3 linked regions of the Sus scrofa genome follow. The protein of the gene in region 2 interacts with the protein of the main gene of each other region in a pairwise test. Links are inferred from orthologs where the notes say so. Each region holds a gene or a part of one and is shown on either strand. Other genes may lie near its edges. The genes, in order: CETN1, POC5 and CETN3.

The links.
Region 1: the proteins of POC5 (region 2) and CETN1 interact in binary tests that used the Homo sapiens proteins (3 or more experiments, as listed by UniProt). The link is inferred for Sus scrofa from reciprocal best matches to the Homo sapiens genes POC5 and CETN1.
Region 3: the proteins of POC5 (region 2) and CETN3 interact in binary tests that used the Homo sapiens proteins (3 or more experiments, as listed by UniProt). The link is inferred for Sus scrofa from reciprocal best matches to the Homo sapiens genes POC5 and CETN3.

The regions. Positions count from the first base shown.
Region 1 is NC_010448.4:105,738,740-105,744,863, forward strand, and holds CETN1 (centrin-1), read right to left. Parts: upstream 3,488-6,124; 5' UTR 2,727-3,487; coding exon 2,208-2,726; 3' UTR 1,449-2,207; downstream 1-1,448. UniProt on the Homo sapiens protein: Plays a fundamental role in microtubule-organizing center structure and function. Plays a role in sperm cilia formation.
Region 2 is NC_010444.4:84,709,715-84,715,436, forward strand, and holds part of POC5 (centrosomal protein POC5), read right to left. Parts: intron 4,206-5,722; coding exon 4,000-4,205; intron 2,330-3,999; coding exon 2,153-2,329; intron 1-2,152. UniProt on the Homo sapiens protein: Essential for the assembly of the distal half of centrioles, required for centriole elongation. Acts as a negative regulator of centriole elongation.
Region 3 is NC_010444.4:97,579,055-97,584,776, forward strand, and holds part of CETN3 (centrin-3), read right to left. Parts: intron 4,055-5,722; coding exon 3,863-4,054; intron 1-3,862. UniProt on the Homo sapiens protein: Plays a fundamental role in microtubule-organizing center structure and function. As a component of the TREX-2 complex, involved in the export of mRNAs to the cytoplasm through the nuclear pores.

The sequences.
Region 1 (6,124 bases), on a different chromosome or scaffold from region 2:
CAGCTGGCCGAGGCTCTGACCCTCTCTTCTAGTCTCTGCCAACTTTCTTTGTTTCTGGTTTTCCTACCTTGATCCATATGTAGATCCTTGGTCCAAGACTTGGGTCAACAGGATGCCAGGAACTCTTGTTTACCAGAATGCCACCCTCCTCCCCTGGCCCTCAACTCAGGCCTTTCACACGGATGCTGATCCCAGTTGCACCTGTATTCAACTGCACCTGAATCCACAATATCCCCACAATCCACCTGAATCCTTGAACCTGAACTGTTAGCGTTTGCAGCATGGGTGTGTTCCTCTGACCTGTAGCAGCCACCTCAGCAAAATCCTTTCTCACAGTAAATGCCCACATACCCATCACTTCAGCTAGTACTGCTGCTTTGACAAATCAGTCCCTGTTAATGAGAATTAAACCCAGGGTAGTTGTTCCCCTAATTAGATTCCCGACTCTCTGAAGGGTAAAATTGCTGGCAAAGCAAGTGAAAAATTTTCCAGAATTTCAGCATTTATTTTAATGGGACTTTGTATGAAGATTTAATTTAGGCTTAGTTGTGACCAAAATATCTTGTTTAATGGTTTTGTTGTCTATTATCAAACATTTGTGTAGGCCTCCATCTCAGTAGATATATAGTTTTCCCACAATTATATTTAAATTTTCTCCAACTTCATTTTTGTAAATGTGCAAAAGGTGACATATCTTATTTTAAAACAAGAAAGACTTGGAGTTCCCTGGTGGCTTAGTGGGTTAAGGATCTAGTATTGTCACTGCTGTGGCTCAGGGTGCTGCTGTGGCTCAAGTTCACTATCTGTGCTGGGAACTTCCACGTGCTGCAGGCTCAGCCAAACAAACAAAGAACCTAGAAAGGCTTCATTTATAACAGAGGACAAGTAGCATTAAAATGTACACAAGCCACAGTGAGTGAATAGTTTCTTGGGATTATAAAATAAAGAACTATCTCTACGCCAGACACTCTGGCATCGACCATATACAAGAGGTGGGGGAAATTAAGTATCAAGAACCAAAATGTTCTAAGAATTCGAAGGTAGACAGTAGCTTATAATAAAGTAATAATAAAATGACTGACTAAATTACACTATAGTTTAATCTAACAGTTAAACACTAGTTGATCTTTCCAAGGACAGATAAGTAGTTTAAAATGTACTACAGATATATATATATGTATATATAAAATATATACATATATTTTTGTATGTATATATGTATATGTGTGTGTGTGTGTTTTTTTTGGTTTTTTTTGTTTTTTTTTTTTGTTTTTTTTTTGGCAATTCTCCTGGCATGTGGAAGTTCCTGGGCCAGGGATCAAACCTGTGCCACAGCAGCAATCTGAGCCACAGCAGTGACAGCACCATATCCTTAACCTGCTTCACCACAAGAGAACTCCCACAGACGCTTGTTAGTTTCCTAAACTGAAATCTTACATTTGTAAATATTTACTCAAAATCATTAGTTAGTTTAATCTCTTAAGCAAATTATACTTTACTTGGGCCGGTATTAAATTTTGTTTTTATTCTGTAGCCCAAGAATGAATACATTCCAGCCCTGGATAATCCACAGTAGATAACATATACACAAATGGAGAATCGTTTACATGTGATGAAGTCAGAGAATAGTCTCAGTTGCACAATTTACCACCAGCCAAAGGCAAGCCTATCCCTTAGAACAGTATCTTTCCTGAGCGCAGTAAATAGCTGCGATGTTTTCCTTCAAACCAAGATTCAGTTAAGTGAAAAGCAATGGCTAGGATGACCTGCTGACGAATCCACCTCATCCTGCAAGAACAATGACTTGAATTTAAGGAATTACATATGAAGCAAAATAATTTAAGACCACCAAAGAAGCGCCAAGAGAACAGCACTGCTGTTTTGAACCAAGAAGCCACGTTGCCTTCACTTTAATGGATGTCCACCAATGCAGGGCACATGGCCTGGGGACAGGAATTTCAGCACCCTTGATTCAACCGAAACTACTCCAGGTCTGCCCTTGGGAATTACAAACCAAAACTCATGTTAAAAGCATCTTTAAACTTCTGTAATTGAGCTAGATAGAGATTTGGAAGTAGAGCTTTTTAGACAAATTGGGGGTAAGGAGAGAGGCAGTGAAGTCCTCTAAATCAAGGTTTCCCAAAACAGAAGCAGGGAACCCGGCAAGTGTGACTCAACTCTGCACGTGCTTGTCTGAGAAACCAACATTAATAAAGGTTGGTCTTTTTCATGATCCGAAGAAATTCTTCCTCGTTCACTTCGCCGTCTCCATCCCGGTCCGCTTCGTCAATCATTTCCTGAAGCTCCTCATCCGTGAGGTTTTCCCCCAACTCGTTGGCCACGCGTTTTAGATTTTTGAATGAGATCTTGCCAGTTTCATCGTCGTCAAAGAGCCTGAAAGCCTTCAGGATTTCCTCTTTGGTATCCTTCTCGGCCATCTTCTGCGTCATCACGGCCAGGAAGTCATTGAAGCTGATTTTCCCTGTGCCTTCCTTGTCCACCTCCGAGATCATCCTCTTCATCTCCTCCTTTCTGGGTTCAAAGCCCAGCGCTCGCATAGCCACCTTCAGCTCCTTCACGTCGATGGTGCCGCTGCCGTCAGCATCGAAGAGGTCAAACGCTTCGCGAACTTCTTGCTTCTGATCTTCAGTGAGTTCAGGCTTAGGGCCCACCTTTCTTTTCTGGCTGGTGGAGGCCACTTGTGGCTTCTTGAAGCTGGAAGCCATCCTCCGGCGGTGGCGGTGGTTATTTAACGCTTGACCTCACCGCGCTTGCGCTGGGGCGCTCCCGCCTGGAACGCAGGCGCGGGGCCTCCCCTCCTTCAACCCTCGTGCTCTCTCTGGGGGCTTCGAGGTCTGATGCACTTTAACTGCCACAGTCTCCTCCATTACTACCCAAGCTGGCAAGACTTGCTTGTATCCACTATTGTCCTCTATAACTTGTTGGCATTTGTTCTTTCCAGGCCATCTGTCAGCATCCATAGGACAAGGTTAATATGGTTATTTGGAGGTTGTCTTCCTCTCTCCTTTTCCATACAAACTTAAAAAAACCCTCCTGGCCTGAGGTTACCTAAGGGTAAGCTTAGGATCATCAAGACTGAGTTTGATTCCTTGACATAAAATGTGGGGAAGGAGGAAGAGAGTATATTAAAAGTCACACCATGTGTTCAACTTGACATAAATGGAAAACAGATAAAACGGAAAAAGTTATGTAGAAAATTTGTACAAGTGTGTTTCCTGACATTATGCTCAACAGTAATGAAAGTTTCACGAGCTTATTTGGTGTGCACTGAAACATGAGATGTGATATCCACAGGAGAGATTTACTTTCAGTGATTCCATTTTGCATGCTCAGTATAATTGCAGTTGAATAATGGTCATAGTTTCATTCACTAGGCTTTGACTTGGAGAGACAGGCAGGGGCTGAAATACCGCCTTCTGGGTTGGTAGTTTAGAAAACTCTATCAGCGTATAACTCACTGTTTATCATCCAGTTGGGGCTGTGCTGAAAACCACATTCTGATGGCCCTGCTTGGGCAGTGGACACAGGAGGAGGTGATACTGGGCATGCTGGGACTCAAAATTGCCTCCTGAGAACAAAGGGGCAAGAGAAAAACAGGCTTTTCAGGTGAAAAGAAAGAACAAATTCACCAAGTCAGCCCATAAAGGGATTGTGTCTGGAATTGCTCTGTAGATGCTAGGACTCAGTGATTTTTGTTTGAGCGAAGGCTGGACATCTTTAGGGTTTTCCCTTCGCATCAATGAAAAATGAATGTTTCTTTGCACATAATTAAAATATTTTGAATAAACTATTGTTGCTTATGGTGGTAAAAATAAAAAAAGAGTGAACCGCTCCTTTTTTAAATGATTTAAAAAAACACAACAGAAAGCTGACTTTTTTCTAGCATTCTTGCAAAAAAAAAAAAAAATCTCGATTTATCCCTACTTGATCAGTTACAAGTGAGGGCAATTTCAAGAGTTTTAATTGAAGGATTTTTGTATCCTCAGCATCTAGAACAGTGCTTGACATATATTAAGTAGGTTAATAAATATTTGTTGAATAAATAAATGACAGTTAATGATGGGCTTAAAATACTTCTGAATTGCCAAAATAAAACAAACAAAACCCCCAAAAGATTAAAATATGCTAGGAGTGTTTTTTAAAATTAGTGATCAGATATTGTTTACACGACAAGCTTAATTAGCCAGATCTCACTACCTGCCTCGGTCGATATATGACATAATGGACAGAGGGCCTGGGCCCAGGCTTTCTAAAGGTCAAGGAAACTTACTGGGACATTCCTCCAACACCCGCCTTCCCTAACACTTGTCACAAATGGTGTCAACTCGAAGTAGACTTTGGCAAGTATAAATTGACATTGCCTGCCTTCCAACCCTGCAAATCCTCCTGCTTGCTTGCTTTCTTCTTTTCCTTCTTCTTTTTTTTGGCTATGCCGATGGCATACAGAAATTCCCAGGCCAGGGATTGAACCTGTGACACAGCAGCAACCTAAGCCACAGCAGTGACAACTGGTAGGTCCTTAACCCACCAGGCCACCAGGGAAGTCCCAAGCCTCCTTTATCTTAACTGGGTCAAAGAGCTTGGGATCTTATACCAAACTTTATTATCCCTGTGACTTTGAGAAAGTCACTTAACCACCCAGACTTGGTTGAAACATCTGCAAGTAGGCATACTTTGCAGTATGCTTACCGCATAGTAGGAATAGAGCTTCCTATTAGGGCTCCTGAGAGTGTTCAGGGAGCTACCCCAGGGACAGTGACTATAAGAAGCTACTTCAGGGGCCACACAGGGCTGGGTGATTGTTAGCTGAATATGAATTTGTCCCAGACATTGTGCATTTCTTTTGACATCCACTCTTCTACCCAAATGCAAGCCAAACTATGATGTGTTGGGAAAAACTGAAGGATAGAGGCTGCTTTATATAGAGCTACATTTGGGCCAAGCTGAGCTCAAAGCAAAACGGTTGTCATGGTTTCCAGATGTGTGCAATCAGCTGTCACAGCTAAGGGCCACCAGGAGCTCCTTTTGGAGAAAACAGTGCCTTTGGCCGGAGTCAGCTCTCTTAGGGAGTTACTTTGTGTTCATAGTCTGTGATCTGAAAAGAAGAAGGGAAGCTTACATTGATTAGGTGCCTAGCATTGGGCTTGGTCCTCTCATTTAATCCTTGTCATCCTTTTGCAAATGAAAAAAAAAATGAGGCCTGGGAGGGGCTGTCACATATCCAGGGGTGCACAGCCAATAAATGGTGGCTCTGGAATTTAAACCTAGTTGGTTTGGGTCCACTGCTGAGGCTTTGTTCACCACTCCACACTGCCTTCTTTAGTAGTTGAGATTATTACCAAAGTGCAGTGTCACTGGGAAGGTACGATACTAATTTTCTTCCCTTAGCCTAACAACAATTAATCATCTTCCCTAGAAAGATTTAATGAGATTTTGTAGGATCTCAGGCAGGAACCCATTGGGGCTGAGTCACTGAGAGGAGGAGCAATATGCTTGGAATTTACATTCGTTCTTCAATTCTGCTTCACCCCATACCCATTCTGCTGGGAAGCAGTCTGGGCAAAGTGTTTTTGGTTGGCATCAGTCAGAGTCTATATAATGCTTGCAAAATTCAGCTTCATTGCTTTAAAGTCACTTTTCAAGTTTGAAGAAGACCAACATAAAGTAAATGAGGTGTTCTGGAAAATCCATAGTTCTGAGCGGTTTTGTTTGGTTTTGTTCCTGCACTGAACATTTTCTATACCACATTGTCCTAGGTAGTATGCTCAATCAGTTGTTGATTGAAAGGGGGAAGAGGAGAGACGGTTGTTTAAATCTGGTCCTAGGAGCTTAACAGCTGGAAGGGGCTGGGGTTGGGGGGGGGGTGAAGAGGAGCTGGAATTCCACAGCTGGGTCCAGAGTCAGCTGAGAGCAAGCAAAAGGACCCCTGCAGTTTGCTTATTCTAATTATTTGGTTTTCCATTAGACTTACAGTGGCTTGAAAAAGGTGAGGCTTAGGAGCCTTTTAAATTTAAGTTGCACTCAGCAAATTCAGCAAATTCCAGGTGCCACCCAAGGCAGAAAACGTGCATAATAAGGTTTCTTTATTGCTGCCTATTTACTT
Region 2 (5,722 bases):
TATAGAGAACAGACTTGTGGTTGCCAAGGGGAAGAGGGGAAGAAGTGGGATGGATGGGGAGTTTGGTGTTTGTAGATACAAACTGCTACATTTAGAAGGGATAAGCAATGAGATTCTGCTGTATAGCACAGGGAACTACATCCAATCTCTTGGGACAGATCATGATGGAGTATAAGAAAGGGATTGTGTATATATATGTATGACTAGTCACTTGGCTATACAGCAGAAATTGGCACAATACTGTAAATCAACTATACAATAATAAAATATTTAAATTAAAAAAGAGAAAAGGGAGTTCCCATCGTGGCGCAGCGGAAACAAATTCAACTAGGAACCATGAGATTTTGGGTTTGATCCCTGGCTTCGCTCAGTGGGTTAAGGATCTGGCGTTGCCATGAGCTGTGGTGTAGGTCACAGACGTGGCCTGGATCCCACATTGCTGTGGCTGTGGTGTAGGCCAGCGGCTACAGCTCTGATTAGAGCCCTAGCCTGGGAACCTCCATATGCTGTGGGCGCGGCCCTGAAAAGACAAAAAAAAAAAAAAAAAAAAAAAAAGAAAAAAGAAAAAAGAAAAAAAGGTTACGTATATGAAAATATAATCATCAGCATTTAAGAAAAACAACCATACATTCTAGAGTTTTGTACATATACACAATGTTCTTATTCACTAAACTCAAGGGCAGAGACCAGTTTTCAAATATCTTTTTAGTCCCTAAATGCCTTTAGTATCTTAGAATAGAAATTTCTCAGTAACTGTTTAATGATTTTCTAGATTCAACAAACTCAAAAAAGCAAATAGTTAATAGTTACACTTTGATGTACTTTTTCAGTTATATTATTCTGTTCTTTAAAAAAAAAAATCTATGAAGACTTTTAAATCCTAAGATAATATTCTTTTTTATAAAGAACTGAGTAACTAAAATATATATCTAAAAATGGTCATATTAAAAAGAGATTTAGTAAATTAGGCATATTTATTGAGAGACATTTATTCTAGTTCTTTAAATAATTTTCAAAAGTGGAAAAGGGCAAAAATTCTAAAACACCAGTAATATTCTATTTCTTAAGCTGTGTGGTAGCACATGGCTGGTTCACTTTGTTTTCAAAAATTGAACTTGTATGTACACTTTTTTTTTGTGGGATATTTTGAAATAAAAACATTAAATTTAAAATATTTAAAAACCTTAGGTCAGGGTTTTGAAAGCAATAGAGAAAATGAATGACATTAGTTTCTATTGTTTCACAAAAGCAAACTGTGTAAAATATTCAATTTTACATTGCCCCCCACAAAGGATATTAAAAACTCCATAATCTTATCTAGTTCATTAACACAATGAGGGCTACAACTGCAGACAAGGAGCTGAGGTGTCTGCTGTGGGTCCCTCTTTTCTGAAAGCTATCATCCTCCTGGGGGAGCTACAGATTTGTTGCCCATCTGCTTTCTTCAAGATGCTCTCCGGGGGCACAAAAATAGCACAGACTTGAAACTACTCTCAAATTCTTAAGAGGCTAACAGAAAATGAAATAAATGCTGAAATAAAGGACATCATGAATGAATAAAGACTTAGTATAGATAGAATGTGGGATATTTATGCCCCTCTAAAAGGATGGTTTAAAATGTAGGTAATGCTGGAGTTCCCATCATGGTTCAGTGGTTAACAAACCTAACTAGTATCCATGAGGATGTGGGTTTGATCCCTGGCCTCGTTCGGTGGGTTAAGGATCTGACATTGCCATGAGCTGTGGTGTAGGTCACAGATGCGGCTTGGATCTGGCATTGCTGTGGCTGCGGTGTAGGCCAGCAGCTACACCTCCAATTCGACCCCTAGCCTGGGAACCTCCATGTGCCTCGGGTGCAGCTCAAAAAAGACAAAAGAAAAAAAAATGTGGTACTGTTGGAAGAAAAGGAAGGAAGGAAGATTGAAAAGAAAAAACTAGTGTTCCCGCATCGAGCATGCACTCAATAAAGTGACATGAGCCTGGCATATTTAATATAAAGAATAAATCTTATTTCTATATATCTATTGGTCCACCAGTTTCTAAAATGATCTACTCTTTGTATCATGTATGATCTAAACAATCAGTTCCTGGTGTTTACTACCTAGCAAGACATTTACTGAATCAGTGAAAAAGCAGTTATGAAAAAGAAGACCTCATCTTTTCTCCCAATGGAAACTTCATAGGCTTTCTGCAGCTCCTTCAAGCTGTTGATCTGGTTGCACAGTTGTTTCACCTCTGCTGCATGTTTTTCTTTCTCTTTTTTCATTTCCATTCGGTGCCAGTCAATAAAATTAAGTCTCCATTTACTTAGTTCAGATATGATGTTTGTCTGAAAAATAAATGTACCGACAATTAAGTTGCTTGTTCCATAATACTGCTTCTTTAAATGACACTGAAGTTAAGAAATATTTTTTAAAAATCAAAACATGCACTCAACATCAGAGCTATTTTAAAAATCCAATAATGAAAACATCTACAAATTCAATAGTCACAGCTCTTCTTAGTTCATGCACCATACTAAGGACATGATTTTTTGCCTATTTTAAGTTACTTTGTAAAAACGGTCCTAAAATCTCAGTGTCATTTAAAAAATTTAGGTCTCATTCATTAATACACATGTCCTTCGTTTATTCAAAGACTTAAATGCCCATCTTAAGGTGGATCAGAAAACAAAGAAATGCAGGACTAGGGCGTCATCTAGATGGAGAAGAGCAGAAACTATTGGAGTTGATACTTTCTTCCTCCAAATCATTTATCACAATGGCCATCTTACAAGTTGCTAAGTTTGATCCCTTTTCACCCTACTGACTGGCCTAAGTAAAAGGGCCAAATAACTGTGCTATCAAAAAACTAGATAACAGTATGTGGTTAACTTGAACACAGGATAATTTTTAAATGGTTGGTGGTACACAATTCCAATAACTTACACCAGGACTAGAAATATGAAACCTGTTCCATGGGGGAAAACAAATAGAAATTGTACTAAAAGATTGGGAGTTCCTGTTGTAGCGCAGCAGAAACAAATCCGACTAGGAACCATGAGATTGCGGGTTCAATCCCTGGCCTCACTCAGTGGGATAAGGATCCGGTGTTGCCATGAGCTACGGTGTAGGCTGCAGACCCAGCTCGGATCCTGTGTTGCTGTGGCTGTGGTATAGGCTGGCTCCTGTAGCTCCGATTCAACCCCAGCCTGGGAACCTCCATGTGCCGCGGGGAAGGCCCTAAAAAGCAAAAAAAAAAAAAAGCAAAAAAAAAAGAAATTATACTAAAAAAAGTACTTCTAGAATTTAAGGTTCCATATAATGGAGAAATATATGTAAATACCACAAAACTCTTTTGACCATAATTTCTCCCTGTGTGCGAATACTCAGTTTTCTCAAACTATGTTTCAGAAAAACTGTTGTTTTCTCTACCATTTTTTAAATAGCAAAAAAACCGCCATTTCTGTAATACTTTGTTTTATTTAGAGGCTACTAAAATCGCCAAAATAAAAATCAGTTTTTATTGATTTATTGGTTATATTCTGTGGTTGCTAGAAGAGTGGCTATAAAGAGAATATATGTTGCTAAAATTGGGTCTGCACTTCCCCTTAGTCAGAGCTGCAATGTGGGAGAGGTTCACAGGTGCCTCTCTCAGTCACACATAGGCCGAGCCTTTGGAAACATCTGAGAAGGTCAGTGGAACATGCAGACCTGTTCCAGCAACTATTTAAAACCCTGCTCTTTAAAGTATGGTTTCTGAACCATCACCTGGGGGCTTGTTAAAAATGCATCATCTTAGGCCATGGCCAAGGCCAGCTGAATAAGAAGCTGCAGTTTAACAGAATCACCAGGTGATTCACTTGGACAGTAACAACTGAGAAGCACAGATTTAATACACTGGACTGAATTTTTTGTTTTTTTAAAAGCTTTTTAATTCAAAGAAAAACAGACTAAATAGTGGAATCAAGAGCAAAACTGCTACACTACATATTAGATTACAATCAAACAAGTGTAATACCTTAAGCCCTGAACTCCAAAGATCAAGCACGTTTTCCATCTTTTGAAGGTTTTCATCAGAAATAAGAAAATCGCTCACAACAATTTCATGGGCATCTATAGGACTAGAATGAGACCCTGGTGAGGAAGAGTCAACTAAAAGATTTGTACTGAAAAAATCCATGACCGGGTGAGGCGGCTTCCTGGGGGATGACACTGGTGATGAGCCTAGAATAAAACAAAAGTTGGAACGGTCAGCTAAAATGAAAATAACCCAAATTGGCAAGAAGTTATATTGGAAGGCTAGAAGATGTCAGTTATCTATGGAGGCTGAGGAAAACATGGAGAAATGGCCTTTCAGTGTCCTTAATCTGGTTATTTTAAACTTTAGTGTTGTCACAGATTTAAAACTCACCTCCCTCCCCCATCCACAAATGACCTGTCTCCAAATAAAGATGGTTTGTATATCTAGGTGTAGCCTGAGTTCAAAGTGTTATCATCCACATCATCATATCAACAGTTACTAAGTGCTTTCTATGTTCCTGTAGTAAAAACACTATAAGATTAGCTCTCATAACACACACTACTCTAAGAAAAAGGTATTATTACCTCCATTTCGCTGATGAGGAAACTGAGGTTTAGAAAGGGTTAAGTAACGGACCAAGGTCAGACTAACTGTACATAGGTCATTACTTTATGCAAAACAATGGGGTGGGTTTTAACTCTACTAACATTCAACACTATAAGAGACTAAAAATTTAGTTCATTAGACAGTTGTAAGGCACTCTGTTAGCCTTCAACATATAGATGAGAAATAGATGCACTTCCACCCTCTGCCCATGAACATGGGAGGTAGGAATGAGAGCCAGAGCCAGAAAGAGAACTGGCATCTATCTTTAAAAACACAAAAATAGAAAAGTTGCTATTTTATCACACATGTACACTGGAATTAGAGACTATTCATCATAATTTCTCATGTATCTCACTTTTGTTATAAGGGCTCTAATAACCAAGACTGAAGGGCTTTCCTCTTTTCCTTACTGAATGAGTCAAAGATAAATCTACTGTAGAATTTACTATTTAAAGGTAAATCTTTCAAGAACACTTTGTAAAGGGAAAACCATTTCTTAATACATGTTTTGCATAAAAATGTATCAACAAATGGTTTGGGCTACTTAGAAAAAAAACATGTTCTGAAGATGGTCTAGGAACCCAAAGACAAATGCAGAATGACGAAGTACATAAATATTCTCTTTTACCACAACTTGATCTGCACTCATGGGAAAAACATAGCTCTTTAATTTAAATATATATTAATATTTTAAAAAATAACAAACTCCTACTAAACTGCACAGGGAACCTAGTCAATATCCTATGATAAGCCATCATGGAAAAGAATATTAAAAAAAAAAGGATGGGAGGTAGGAATGAGAGCCAGAGCCAGAAAGAGAACTGGCATCTATCTTTAAAAACACAAAAATAGAAAAGTTGCTATTTTATCACACATGTACACTGGAATTAGAGACTATTCATCATAATTTCTCACATATATACACATATACATACACACAAATATATGTAAAACAATCATTTTGCTGTGCAGCAGAAATTAACGCAAATTGTAAATAAACAATACTTCAATTTTAAAAAAACAAACAAACAAAAATAGAATCAACTTAAGAACTTAGGAGGTCCCAAGTCTTTTATTTATAAATGAGAAAACTTAAGTATAGAGGCATTTCTTA
Region 3 (5,722 bases), about 13 Mb from region 2:
GACACAGCTCGGATCCTGTGTTGCTGTGGCTCAGGCTGGCAGCTACAGCTCCAATTAGACCCATAGCCTGGAAACTTCCATATGCCTCAGGTACAGCCCTAAAAAGACAAAATAAATAAATATATAAATAAATAATGTTACTTCCATTTACTCAAAAAGATTTACTCTGTTTTATATATCTTGGGGGGGGGGATTCTTTCTATATCATTACCATAGCTTTATTTATACTTCATATTGTCTTCTTTTCCTTTAATTCTTCATTCATCACATTTATTATTCTATATATACAATAAAAACACTTTCATTGCTCTGAAAAACTGAACAGTATGAAAAATTCATAAATATAGAACAACTACTAAAGTCCACAAAAAAGGCAGCAAAGTATTATGATTATTAATAGTTTAAAATATACAAAGAAAGAGGTTCTATCTAGGCAAAACTTTGCCTGCAGCCAAAAATAGCAAACAAACAAACAAAAAGATTAAGTGATCAGATTAACATTATGATAAAATCTAACTTGTTACTTTTTCAAAACTGGGCAGATTTGCAGGTAGCTGCAGAGACCCAATATAAGTTAAGGCAGTATTCCTAGTCCCACTAAATAGATTTGAGTTGTAGTTCTCATTGTTTCTGAATATGAAAATGACCTCAGCAATAATTATCAGGACTTGCTACAACAGCTGTCTTCAGTAAATCTTGAGAAGTAGATAATGTCAAACAGGTACTATAAATTTTACACAATAAGTGTATTTATCAATCACAATAGCATTTAGATAAATAACTGAAAAATAACAGCTTAAATATGCATGTACATCAATACTATTATTCATAAGGTCTACAGACAATATTTGATGCATACATGAACTCCCAGCCCTGTGCAATACTTCAGAAGGTCCCCACCCCTAGACACCCACACCCTGTCTTGGAAACTACAAACTTAGGCTATTTTAATATGATATGACCCACTCTCTTCTCCTCCACAAAAACATGTATCTTAACAATAAAAGATTATGTGTCAGGTAGATTTTATTTGTAATCAACCACTAGGGAAAAAAGGAGAAAAAAATGTTATTTGCCTCTTAGTCATTTGAATAAAGGACAGGAGGATTGCCAAGCAATAGTTGTACAGTGACTTAAAGCAGAGTAAGACAAGCAGTGAAGATTGAAGAAATGTTTTAAGGATCCACTAAAATAAAATTTTCTAGCAATGGAGCACAGGTGTGAACTCAGACTCTAAAGCAACAGTAGGTAGAGCAGTCTAACAAGGAATACAAGAAATGGACACATTGTCTAAGCAAACACTCATATCAAGTTTGAATTTAAGAGCAGCTTCCTAATTGATATTTTCTACTAATATCAAATGAAGCTAATAACTAAAATCTGTATTGCATGTGCCTCCTACAGGAAAAAGAAACTTTATAACTCTGATCTTCTGACACGCATAGTAGCTATTATTAAAGATTTAGAAAATAGACATACCATGATTTGCTCTACCACTGAAGAAAGTACTTTTACATAAAGGACTCCTTTAAAGCTAATTTAGGGTAATAATCAACAGCTAGGGAGGATACAAGAATTTTTTAAATATGAAGGCAGTGGATGCAAAGTCCAAATATTAGAATAACAGCTAAATAAATCCTTTAAATTTTCTCAAGTTTTAATCATTTCTGTTTTAAAATATAAGTAACTATATCAGTACTCTTCATAGAGCTAGCATCAGAAAAAGAAATGTTGTATAATGCTTAAATAATAGTCACATAAATATGAGAAAGCACAATAGAGCACAATTCTAATGGACAATCTACAAACCTAAACTGATAACTAGTTGCTACAGTCTTATCTCCTTATTAAAGCATGACAGTATTTTCAAGATAATATAAGTAAAAATATATAGTTAGGACTATATCAACATGTATCTCCTGTAACACACACTCCTGCTTGCTGCTTAAGTCGGCAAACATCAAAGTACTCACCATGTTAAAAAAAAATGAAGACTACAAAGATGGAAAAAAAGGAAAATAAGCTTGTATTTAAAGCTAGGCATCTTCTGGAGTTCCTGTCGTGGCGCAGTGGAAACGAATCTGACTAGGTTTCTATCCTGGCCTCGCTCAGTGGGTTAAAGGTGTGGCCTTGCCGTGAGTTGTGGTGTAGGTCACAGACGCAGCTCGGATCTGGCATTGCTGTGGCTATGGCGTAGACCAGCAGCTACAGCTCCAATTAGACCCCTAGCCTGGGAACCTCCATGTGCTGCAGGTGCAGTCCTAAAAAGACAAAAGACAAAAAATAAATAAATAAATAAATAAAAATAAAGCTAGGTATCTTCAATTATTTTCATTTAATGCCCATAACCATCCTGGAAGGTATTACCATTCTTATTGATATAAATAGGAAAAATGAGACTCAGAAAACTTGCACAAAATTAGGGCAATTAAGTAAGTGGTAGAGATTCAATGCAAATCCAGGTCTGCCTGAGTCCAAAACCTTAGGTCTTTCACATTATATGATTGTCTGCCCTTTACAGGCTCACAATATTACTGGAGAGACACACATGTATATACCTAAGAGAAGGCAGAATATAGAAGTGTCAAAATAGCTTGTTTCTCTAAATGCTATGGGCCCTCAATGGGCTCTCATAATTTTTAAACAGAGATCACTGAGAGAGGATTTTGAGGAAAAAAAAAAAAAAAACAGAGTTTAAAAAGAACCTCAGAATGTACATTTTAGCCAACAAATTGGCAAACAGAACATTCTAGGATTAAAGAATAGCATGAAAGGCAAAACATAAAAAGACAGGATAGAGTGTATTCTGTGACAGTGTGCATACTATATGGAGGCGAGGGTTAAAGTAGAAAGCAGAAAAATAATGTGGGGAATAAAACTAGATACTTATGGTAGGACAGATCACAGAAGGCTTTGGATTTTACTCTGTAGGCACTGAGTAATCATTTTAAGCATTAGAACAGGAAAATGAAATCACTAAAACTGTATTTTAGGGAAAAAAATGCTTTAGAATAAATTAGTAAGAGAGTAGAGGCTTACAGGCATAGAGTGCAGAGCAGGGACAACATAAGCCTTTGTCACTGGGTAGCATCAGTTAACAAACAGAACAGTGTACGCAGCAGGCATTCAAGAAAATAAGAGTTCCTGCCATGGATCAGCAGAAACGAATCTGACTAGTATCTATGAGGACGCAGGTTCAACCCCTGGCCTCAATCAGTGGGTTAAGGATTGTCTGGCATTGCCATGAGCTGTGGTGTAGGTCGCAGACACGGCTCCGATTTCCCATTGCTGTGGCTGTGGCACAGGCCAGCAGTTACAGCTACAACTCAACCCCTAGCCTAGGAATCTCCACATGCTACAGGTGTGGCCCTAAAAAGACACACACACACACAAAAAAAGGAAAAAACAAATGAAACTATGATAACATTCCAACAAAGAAATCAGAGCCTAAGTTAGGACAGCAGCAATAAAGAAATAAAACAGATTCAAAAACTCTGAAAGGTAGATGCAAAGAACTTAGTTACAATTTAGATGCACATGCAGCTTGAGGAAGAAGGTATTAAAGCTGAAATTTTACTGAGTGGCTGAAATTTTGGAGATATTTCATCCTCAAAGAAAAGTACTTTCTTAAAGTATGGAACTTCATATTATAATCTACACAGTAGGTTTTAAAGGTCTGCTTCACTCTAAACTGAGTACGTGTAGTATTTATAGTAGTATTTATACAAAAAGCCCATTACAGGATAAACGACATTTACATTAAATAGTTTGCAAAGAATCTTGAAAATAATTTGGTTTTAGAAAAATTTACTATATGCATATATTAGGAATATTTGGAATATATGTTTTACTTGAAACTTACTTTCTCCATCACCATCTTTATCAAATTCTTCTATCATAGCCCGAAGTTCTTCATCACTCATGTTTTCACCCAATTCTCTGGCAACACGTCGCAAATTCCTCAAGCTTATTTTACCTGAATCATCATCATCAAATAATTTAAATGCCTTCAATATTTCTTCATGTGGATCTCTTTCCAATATCCAGTCTGTCACTATAGTTAAAAAAAGGTGAAAACCAAAACTTTATAGTCACTATAGCACTCATTTGTGAAATCAACTAAGTATTAGATAAGAATTAAAGCTGTGAATGTGTCAATATTTAGTTTGACAATAAAAATGCCATACTGGAGCCCAAAGCTCCAGAGATAAAATTATAAAGACCAAATCAATATATTAAAATTTAACCTTTATATTATTAACAATTTATCCCATTATAAGATAAACATAACTGTATCACAGAAGCAAAAATTTTAAAACTATGTACCATATTTATTTAAGATCTACTATTATCAAGAATTGTACTAGGCTACATTAGCATCAGAAACACAAGCCTAGGAGTTTAGAAATGAGTTGCAGAGATGTTATAAAAATCAAACAATAAAAACCAACTAGGTAAAAGTTGTTTGCTTAATAGTAATATTGGCTGTTCCTCAAATTTAAAAGAAAACACCTGTGACAAATTAACAAAGTAACTACCATCATTGATACAGACACACTCTTAGACAATAGATGAAAATTCCACTGGTATCTTCATGATTAGAAGAACCTCTTGGTTTCCCAAAAGCAGTTATAAAAAGGATTGAATCTGATTGCAGTGGGCGGGGGGGAAAGGTCTGGGAAGGAGACCTCTCTAAAGTCAAAGCGATTTTGTTCAGCAAGATAGTAACTCTCAGACAGCCAAATTAAAATTACACGCAATTTCAGACTTTAATAGTAATAAGTATTTTAATATACTAAATGTAATAGTAAATAAAAATTTAGTAAACTTAAACAATATTTTCATTATTACCACAGTCTTTAATCAACAATCACAATAACAAAAATTTTTAAATCTGTGGTATAAATTTTTTTAAGTTACTAGATAGAATTCTGAAAATAGCAAACATCTCTGAGTTAGTTCTATATGCTAGTCTACCACTACCACAGAAGATATTTATGACCTTCACTGTGCCATTAAAAATAAGTCAGTCCAGAGTTCCCATTGTGGCTCTGCGAAAACAAATCCGACTAGGAACCATGAGGTTGCAGGTTTGATCCCTGGCCTCGCTCAGTGGGTTAAGGATCTGGCATTGCTGTTAGCTGTGGTTTAGGTCGCAGATGTGGCGGATCCGGTGTTGCTGTGGCTCTTATGTAGGCCGGCAACAACAGCTTTGATTAGACCCCTAGCCTGGGAACCTCCATACGCCACAAGCGTGGCCCTTAAAAAAAAGAAAGAAAAAAAAAAGTCAGTCCTACTGAGGTTTATAGAATTAAAAATTTTTAAATGCTTGTAGATGGAAAGTACTAGAACGTTTAATGTACCAAAAAAGAAAAATATAATTCAAGACCCCTACAAATTGCTGTTTTACTGGTTTCATTGTATCTAGTTGAGTACCCTTTAGAATAAGCACCTATTCAAGCTAATGTTACATACATTCAATGGTTTTCTCTTATCCATTAACTTTATCCAAAAAGTCTTCCAAGTAACTAATTGAAGTATATTACTATAAGTATGCAAATCATCAAAGCTCATAAATATTCAGTTAAAAAGGAGTTGGCATATATACAGCCATAACACCAAAATAAAATACCACACTTAACTCTATGGCTCATACTCAACTTATTTTGAATTTAGTCCCAACAAAAAAGCAGGACAAGGAAAAAAAAAAGTGTTAAGAAAT